Mus musculus: one gene and its partner. Each later gene encodes a partner of the first gene's protein in a complex. Links are inferred from orthologs where the notes say so. Each region holds a gene or a part of one and is shown in the gene's direction. Other genes may lie near its edges.

The links.
Region 2: the proteins of Ntrk2 (region 1) and Ntf5 are in contact, whole or in part, in a crystal structure (PDB 1HCF), measured with the Homo sapiens proteins. The link is inferred for Mus musculus from reciprocal best matches to the Homo sapiens genes NTRK2 and NTF4. Residues at the interface, in NP_001018074.1 of Homo sapiens: Phe291, Glu293, Thr296, Ser297, Asp298, His299, Cys302, Pro304, Thr306, His335, Val336, His343, Gly344, Cys345, Asn350, Thr352, His353, Met379, Gly380, Trp381, Pro382, Gly383; in NP_001382418.1 of Homo sapiens: Gly81, Val82, Ser83, Glu84, Thr85, Ala86, Ser89, Arg90, Arg91, Gly92, Glu93, Leu94, Ala95, Asp98, Ala99, Ser101, Gly102, Trp103, Thr105, Tyr135, Phe137.

Annotation. Positions count from the first base shown.
Region 1 is NC_000079.6:58,806,188-58,810,499, forward strand, and holds the start of Ntrk2 (BDNF/NT-3 growth factors receptor isoform a precursor), read left to right. Parts: upstream 1-1,509; 5' UTR 1,510-1,826; intron 1,827-2,197; 5' UTR 2,198-2,541; coding exon 2,542-2,753; intron 2,754-4,312. UniProt on the Homo sapiens protein: Receptor tyrosine kinase involved in the development and the maturation of the central and the peripheral nervous systems through regulation of neuron survival, proliferation, migration, differentiation, and synapse formation and plasticity.
Region 2 is NC_000073.6:45,412,487-45,416,531, forward strand, and holds the start of Ntf5 (neurotrophin-4 preproprotein), read left to right. Parts: upstream 1-1,208; 5' UTR 1,209-1,302; intron 1,303-1,376; exon of another isoform or gene 1,377-1,829; intron 1,830-1,839; exon of another isoform or gene 1,840-1,997; intron 1,998-2,017; exon of another isoform or gene 2,018-2,107; intron 2,108-2,244; 5' UTR 2,245-2,368; intron 2,369-2,948; 5' UTR 2,949-2,959; coding exon 2,960-3,589; 3' UTR 3,590-4,045. UniProt on the Homo sapiens protein: Target-derived survival factor for peripheral sensory sympathetic neurons. May promote ameloblast differentiation and subsequent reduction in proliferation of ameloblasts.

The DNA of each region.
Region 1 (4,312 bases):
TGCTAGATTGATTTTATTTCTTAGTGATGTTTAAGGCTGTGCGAAGACCCAAACATTTCCCCTGACATCATCCTTCTCATTTCTGGCCTTTTGCGGGCAGTTGGATGACTATTCTTATGTCTTAAATTGGACTCCAGCGCATTGTCTTGTGGTGCGTGGAGGACTTCAGAGGCAGGAGATTGTAGGGATCTGGTGAGAGGCGCACTGCCTGGGTAGCAATGTGCACACAGCGCGGCGGTTGCGCATCTGGAGCTGCAGTGCGCCGGTAGCGCAGTTCCTAATGCGGTGGTAGCAATGGCCCGAGGTACCGGAGCGTGCTGGGTTTCTTCTCCCCACGCGGGGGCACCAGAGCCCTCGAAAGTGTCAGGCACTGCGGCGCATCTACCAGATTCCCTTTTAAATGACTGCGGATGTGCGGGCGGTCGCAGCTACAAATGGTGAGAGGAGGCTCAGATCAGGCTCGCGAATGGCCCGCAGCGACCATTTAACTGCACCCGCACGTTTGTCACTCGACCCTCCGGAATCATCTCACGTGTCCCCACTGAGACTCTAGGGCGCTGCCGGAGCCCGGCCTCTCGGTAGCTGGAAGCACATCCTGCCTCGGGCAGCGCGGGTGCAGGGTACACGTTGGCGCACATGCACGCGCGCACACGAACACGCGCAAGGTACGGCAGGGCAGGGGACAGGGGCTTGGGTGCTCCGCGTGCGGGTGGGTGTCGCGGGGAGTGAAGCTGTGATCCTCAAATGGCTGCATCCTGCCAGGTTAAGGAATAAGAGAAGATGATGCGGAGCCATCCATTCCACAGGCCAGGGTCGGTGCAAAGCATTTAGGGAACCCACAGCGCGGCCGGCGCGCTCCCTTCCCACGCAGGGCTCTCTCTGTGGCGCAAACGGCAGGAGAAAGATCCATCAGAGCTACACTTGTGTCTGCAGGCTGTCTACACTTCTCTCTTGGCAGAAACCCCATCAGGAGAGCTTTGGAACCATCCACCCCTAAATAGGTAGTCCGGAACCCGGCAATGGTCCTTGGTTACTAACGTACAGCGCTATATATTTATTTTTGTACGGGGTGTAGCTTGTCTTCCCTATATTTTGGAAATAGCTTGCTTTCCCCTATGAGCATGGTGAGAAAGAAGAACGCGGCGGGGAGGGAGAGGGAAAGGAAAAGGAAAAGGGAGGATTCCTACAATACGAATCAGAGCATTTTTTTCAGAGCCTAACCAAACAGGGCTTCCATTTAAAAAAGGGGGAGCTAGTCTGTACTGCGATGTGGAAGAGATGTAAGAATTAGGGACCAAGGAAGCATCGCTGCATTTTAGATGTACCGGGGTCTAAAGGGGGCACACACACGCACACGCGCACACATGCACACCCGCACAGCTACCCCGCCAAGGTGTGTGCGTGCGCGCGAGTGTGAACTCCCACATGCTGCTGTCTGCGCCTGGCCGCTGGCACCAAGCCTCCTCCTCCCCGCTCGCCCCCAGATTCCCTCCCCTCCGCCTTGCTTTTGTCTGGAGGGTGCTATGCTATGCGTGTGTGCGTGTGTGTGCGCGCGCGCGTGTGTGAGCGTGTGTGTTTTTGGATTTCATACTAATTTTCTGGAGTTTCTGCCCCTGCTCTGCGTCAGCCCTCACGTCACTTCGCCAGCAGTAGCAGAGGCGGCGGCGGCGGCGGCCGCCGGTTAGAGCCCAGTCGCTGCTTCAGCTGCTGTTGCTGCTTCTGCAGCGCTCTGCTCCCTGCGCTTGCTACGGGAGGCCGGGGAAGCCGCGCGGACAGTCCTCGGTGGCCTGGGCCGGCACTGTCCTGCTACCGCAGTTGCTCCCCAGGTGGGATGTGCCGCGCCACCTGCCCACCTCCCCTCTCCCCCCGCGCCCAGCGGCCGGGGAGGATTCTGCAGCATCATTGGGGCCCCAGCGCTGCCGCAGCCTCTTTGGAGGGTCCTTGGCTTGGCCTATGCCATGGAATCTGCTCTCAAAGACCCGTTACCGACTTCTCATGCCTCGGCCTCAGGCTTGAAGGGAGGGCGGGCACACGGGGGGGGGGCACTAAGGGGCAAGTTGATGGCGGGGCGGGAGCTGGGCACTCAGACATTCATTCTCCAGGCTTGGGGTTCAGGGTGAGGAGAGCGCGGAGGGACTGTGTCCCAGTTGGTGGTGTGTGGGGTCTATTAGTCTCATCCATGTCTGTTTGTCCTCAGCCCTGAGGTGCGCACCGATATCGATATTCGTGCCGGTTTAGCGGTTCTGCGACCCAAAGAGTCCAGGGAGATCCACCGAGTGGTGCCTGGCGTATAGGACTATGCAGCCGCCTTGTGGCTCGGAGCAGCGGCCCGCGATGTCCCAGCCACTGTGAACCATTTGGTCAGCGCCAACCTGCTCAGCCCCAGCACCGACAGGCTCAGCCTCTGGTACGCTCCACTCCGCGGGAGGCCACCAGCACCAAGCAGCAAGAGGGCGCAGGGAAGGCCTCCCCCCTCCGGCGGGGGACGCCTGGCTCAGCGTAGGGACACGCACTCCGACTGACTGGCACTGGCAGCTCGGGATGTCGCCCTGGCTGAAGTGGCATGGACCCGCCATGGCGCGGCTCTGGGGCTTATGCCTGCTGGTCTTGGGCTTCTGGAGGGCCTCTCTCGCCTGCCCGACGTCCTGCAAATGCAGTTCCGCTAGGATTTGGTGTACTGAGCCTTCTCCAGGCATCGTGGCATTCCCGAGGTTGGAACCTAACAGCGTTGACCCGGAGAACATCACGGAAATGTGAGTTCCTTTTACTTTTTCTCCTGTCCCCACCTCAGGAATCAGGCAGGTGTATGTTTGGGACAGATGCTGTCCCACACATGGCAAGAAGTCAGAGACCAGAGAGATGGGGTACCTGTCACTTCTCTGTCTGTTTCACTGGCTTACGGATGTCAGTTGGTGAAGAGTGGGACTCTAAAATTCCATATAGACAGAAATATAATCATAAATTCGTATATATTATGTTCCTGGGAAGGAATTCTGCGTGCATTTTCATTTCAAAGTTCTGATGGGTGTGTTTTAGGCTTTCAGTATACGATAATTATATTGGAACATTTTTGTTTGGTAAAATATACTGTGTGTGTGTGTGTTGAGAGAAGTTCCAGTGATATTAACCAGAAAGGAGGTTAAAATTATTCATTTTCAAGAATTGGTTGGAGGAAGTGAGGGTCTCTCCCTTAACATCTTTTCCCGAGGCTTGGAGTTGACTGGTCCTGTTCCCCCTTTTCCATCTCATCTATTGGATTTTGCTTCAGAGATTGCAGCCAGAGATGCTTTGAGGATGCCCTGTAAGAGGAGAAGTTCTGAGTGTCGAAAAGCACTCGCTCAAGAGAGAAAATGCGATCACAGGAAGGGCTAAAAGCCTGGGCTGATTTAATTTGGACCTGATTTCTCAGAGATACGATTTTGAGACCATTTGGATTATAAATCTTAATTGCCCATTGAAAAATTCCCCAGGACTAGGCTAAACAGCAAGCTATGTGCACACTGACGGATGGTAGCTTCAGCCTTGTCCCTAGAAAGGTTACAGCTTGTCCCAGCTTAGTGGAGAAACAGAAATGTGTTTCTTTTCTCTCTGTTGGGTGTCTTGTGACGAATACCCTGCCAAGCAGGAACTCAACCGTCCTTTCTCTAGGTCACCTGTGTTGGGCACACTGCTGTTGTCCCTTCTCTGCAATCTTGCCATTTTATGTCTCACGAACAGAAGGTTTTGTTCATCTGTGTAGAGGATTATAAAGCTAAGTTTCCTGGGTGATTGAGACTGAGAAAGGCAGCCTTGTAAGTAGGGCTTGGGCTGTGGCCTTCCGGTTGGCGAGTGCGCATGCACCCCCTCCCCCAATGTACAAGGGTGTTTTCTGCCAATGCAGCTGCCAGTGCCAAAGGAGTCAAGATAACCTGTTTTGGTTTTTAAATGTAAGTAGGAGCCCCTTCTAATCTTGCCGTTCTGCTACTGATGGTTACACTACAGGCCTCCGGTGTGAGGAAAGAATGGCAGAGCAAGGTGGAGCGTGCAGGCCTGGCATAGCTGAGCCAATCCGGCTGTGAACAGTGGAGACCAGGGTGCTAGGTTCCCAGTCTTTGACAAGTAGCGCAGCAGCACAGTGGGAGGTTAGGGTAGGTATGTGCCTGTCCTGGGCTGGGCTTATCCAAAGAGTCTGTGGCCTTTCTCAGAACTCATGCCTTTCCGAAGGTAATGTCAGTCAGATGGAGGGGCCTTGTGGAAGCAACTCAGAGCCTTTCGGTGGCTGGAGACCTGGAAGGTGCATTGACACAGCCTTTTTAAAAATCCAACGATAGAC
Region 2 (4,045 bases), on another chromosome or scaffold:
AGTGTCCCATCCCACCTCCAGGAAACAACCTGAGTGGGGTCTGAGTCACCCCAGCTGGGATGGCACCTTGAGGGGAACACCCTAATCCGGGGACACCCTTCCTGCCACTTTGCCATGCTATATTTAGGTTGGGGGGATGGGTGCTGGGTGACCCCCCCCCAAGGCAAGTGTCAGCTTTCCTCCTAAATATAGCTCAGGGTTAGGGGAACTAGAGTCCCAGAGTGGGGGCATGGCAGAGTCAAGGGCCCTGCCACCCAAGGAGCCTGTCTGCTGCAGAGACACCCTGCTTGAGGTCTCTCCAGCATCCTGCCTTTCTTTCTGAGGGGGTGATTTCCTCCCTCTAGGGCCCTGTTTCTCTGGGTGGGTTTTTAAAAATTATTTTATTTTATTTCATTTTATTTTATTTTTTATTTAATATATACCAGTACACTGTAGCTGTCTGCAGACACTCCAGAAGAGGGCATCAGATCCTATTACAGATGGCTGTGAGCCACCATGTGGTTGCTGGGAATTGAACTCAGAACCTCTGGAAGAGCAGTCAGTTCAGTGCTCTTAACCGCTGAGCCATCTCTCCAGCCCTCTGGGTGGGTTTTTGTCCCCGTGTCTTATGGTCACAGTTTGCTGTTTCGCTGGGCAGGTCACAGTTCTGAAAGCCCATCATGGTCTCCTCACTCTAATTACCTTGAAGTGTTCTTATCCACTCCAACCAAGTCTTCCTGGTCCCCGGCCAAGAAATTCCAGGATAGAAGACTATGTGGGGGAGCCCGGACAGTCACTGTCTCCAGGCATTGAGCCTTATCACTGCACAAGCCCAGCTGGCTAATGTCTGGCTGGGAGACCCAGGAAGGGAGACAGGAGCGGAGGGTGGGAACCTGCTCTAGACACCATAGCAATTCCCCGGTCTGAAGGGAAGGGCTGAGGTTCTGAATACTGGGTCTAAGGGAGGAGGACTGGGGTCTGGACCCGAGTCTAAAGGAGGAGGGCTGGCGCCTGGACCCCTGGGTCTGAGAGAGGAGGGGCGGAGTGTGGACCCCAGTGTCTGATGGAGGAGGGTTACAGCCTAGACTTCTGGAGCTGAAGTGGTCGAGGCCGAGCTTCCAAGGTGCCGGCCCGCGCGTGCTAGGCGGGATCCGCCGCCCCTCCTCCGCCGTCGGGCGCCGCCCCGCCTCCTCCCAGACCCAGGCCCTCCCAAGCGCAAACGGCGAGCAGCCGGCGAGCAGCGGGCGTCCGAGCTGCCAGCGAGCCGGAGGAGGAGCCGCAGCGGCGCCAGGGGCAGCCGGGGAGCAGAGAAGGGCGCCCCAGGTAAGAGCTCCTCGCCTCCTCTGGCAGACTACACGGTCCGGGTCGCCCGGCCCCCGGGTAGGGAGGGACGGGGGCGGGGCCGACAGGGGCGGGGTTTGGCGGAGGAAACTGAGGCAGGACGGAAGTCTCCCAGAGGTGGAGCGGGTCCCCTCCACCTAACTCAGGAATAGGGATCCCCAGCCCCATTTTCCTGGATGTGTGAAGCAGGGAATCTCCATTTATGAACACCTTGGAGGAGGGGCCGCAACCCTAGAACCTGTGGGTCTGAGGGAGGAGGCGTCTGGAGTCCAAGAAACTTAGTTTGCAGGAGGAGGCATCTGGGGAACCAGGTCACCTGAGGGAGGATGGTTCAGGGGCCTTGGGCCCCTGGGTCTGAGGAAGGAGGCAGCTGTGGACCTGAACAAAGTCTGAGGGAGGAGGCAGCGGGCACCCGCACTCCCTGTAATGGTGTGGTAAACTTCTGCCCCTGATCACACTCAACACTTCCCATTCCCCCACCTCGGAGCCTGGCCAGCCAGACACTCCAGGTATGCGCAGTCGGAGTCTTGGGCGGGCCCTGGCCTGTCCTGCGAGGAGCGAACATTCCAGGAAGCAGCCTCAGGGACCCAGAGCGTGGGCCGGCGGGGACCCGGGTGTCCAGGCCAGCCCCACCTCCGCCGCGTTTAGTGGAGGACTGGAGGACGGGAGGAGGGGATGTAATCTCTTCCAGTTGCCTCACCTGCCCCTCCTCTCTGCTCCCCCCCCCCCATCTGCTTCTCATCCCTCCAAAGCTGTCACCTGCACAGGGAAGGGGGGCCCTCTGGAGGTGGGCGGGGCATCTACTCCAGGGTACCCTAGGCTTTCAAAGACTCTGGAAAGGGTGGCTTTTTTTTTTTTTTTTTTTTTTGAGAGGTCGCGCCCTTCCCCCATCTGCCTATGTAACTGGTTTCCTTCCTCCCGCAGGTGGTTGCCCCCTCCCTCTCCTGAGATGTCAGGGAGGAGACTACCTGTATCCTACAAAGGGGCCCCACACAGCCTGGGGGCCCCCAGTCCCAGAGTGAGGAGGTGGAGGTGCTGCTGTTGACAGGTCTGGTATTCATTCACCTGCTGCTTTCCAGTCCTGGCCCGGCTTCTAGAATGTTCTAGTCTCTCCATATCCCTCCCAGCATCTCCCAGCAGCCAAGTCAGTCTCACACTCAGGGAAAAACGAGAACGACAGGATCCGAGGGGCTCCTCCAGGTTATAGGAACACGAGGGCCAAGTGGCACTGCACGGATTTCAGATCTTACCCATGCCACTTCTTGGCTGTGTGACCCGGTAGAAAGCATTTCTCCTTGGGTTTGACCGTCCAGCCCTGGCTGGCGTGGAACTCGTGCAAACCGGACAGGCCTCCAACTTGTGGCCATCTTCCTGCCTCTGCCTCCTGGTTGCCGAGGTTACAGGTGTGCATCACCACACCCAGTTTTGCCTTTTTGTTTAGACTAACTGGATACTTATTATTAACCTAAAAGTTAAACAATCCCCAGGTTCTAGAGCATAAGGTATTCCTAAGGTCCTCCCATAGTCTGCCACGCAACATCTGCCCTCGGGTGGGGCAGGAGGAGGGGTCCCTGACTTCCGTTACTCAGGTGTCTTTCTTCTCTAACCACAGCCCTCTTTCTCTTCAGGTGTGCAAGCCATGCTCCCTCGCCACTCCTGTTCTCTCCTCCTTTTCCTCTTCCTCCTCCCCAGCGTCCCCATGGAGCCCCACCCCCCATCCTCCACCCTGCCCCCATTTCTGGCCCCTGAGTGGGACCTCTTGTCTCCCCGAGTGGCCCTGTCAAGGGGCGCCCCTGCCGGGCCCCCTCTCCTCTTCCTGCTGGAGGCCGGGGCCTATGGAGAGCCGGCAGGGGCCCCAGCCAACCGCAGCCGGCGCGGGGTGAGTGAGACCGCACCCGCAAGCCGCCGGGGTGAGCTGGCAGTATGCGACGCAGTGAGTGGCTGGGTGACCGACCGGCGGACAGCTGTGGACTTGCGTGGGCGCGAGGTGGAGGTGCTGGGCGAGGTGCCTGCGGCAGGTGGCAGTCCCCTGCGTCAGTACTTCTTCGAGACGCGCTGCAAGGCCGAAAGCGCTGGGGAAGGTGGCCCAGGTGTGGGCGGAGGGGGTTGTCGCGGCGTGGATCGGAGGCACTGGCTCTCAGAATGCAAGGCTAAGCAGTCCTATGTGCGGGCGTTGACTGCAGACTCCCAGGGCCGCGTAGGCTGGCGCTGGATTCGGATCGACACAGCTTGCGTCTGCACGCTCCTCAGCCGAACAGGCCGAGCCTGAGGTCCAGGCTTGGGAACTGCCCAAGTTGAGGGAAAACAAAAAACAAAAAACCAAAGCTGGATGCTGAAAGGACCACAGGGGTGGCCTGGCTGCTCTACCGTGCCTTATGACTGGGAACTGGAATAACCAAAGAATCAAATCTCTCTCAAATCTCAGTCTGTGTGGAATGTATGGTGAAACCAAATGAGGTTTCAAGTGATGAATAGGAGTTCTCCCGGAGGAACTTGACATTAATAACAATAGCCAATGTTTACTATCTCCTGTTTATCAGACCTGATATATGACTTTGGCAACCATTTTAACATCAGAGGACCCTGGCTCATCAAAACGGACGAGGAAAGAACGCATGAAAAGGGGATGCATGATGCATGCGCTGGAGCTAGGCCTCCATCAGTAGGCTGTTTCTGGTTGCCTGGCACGCACACAGTCCTGGGCTCCATCCTGAACATCATAAAC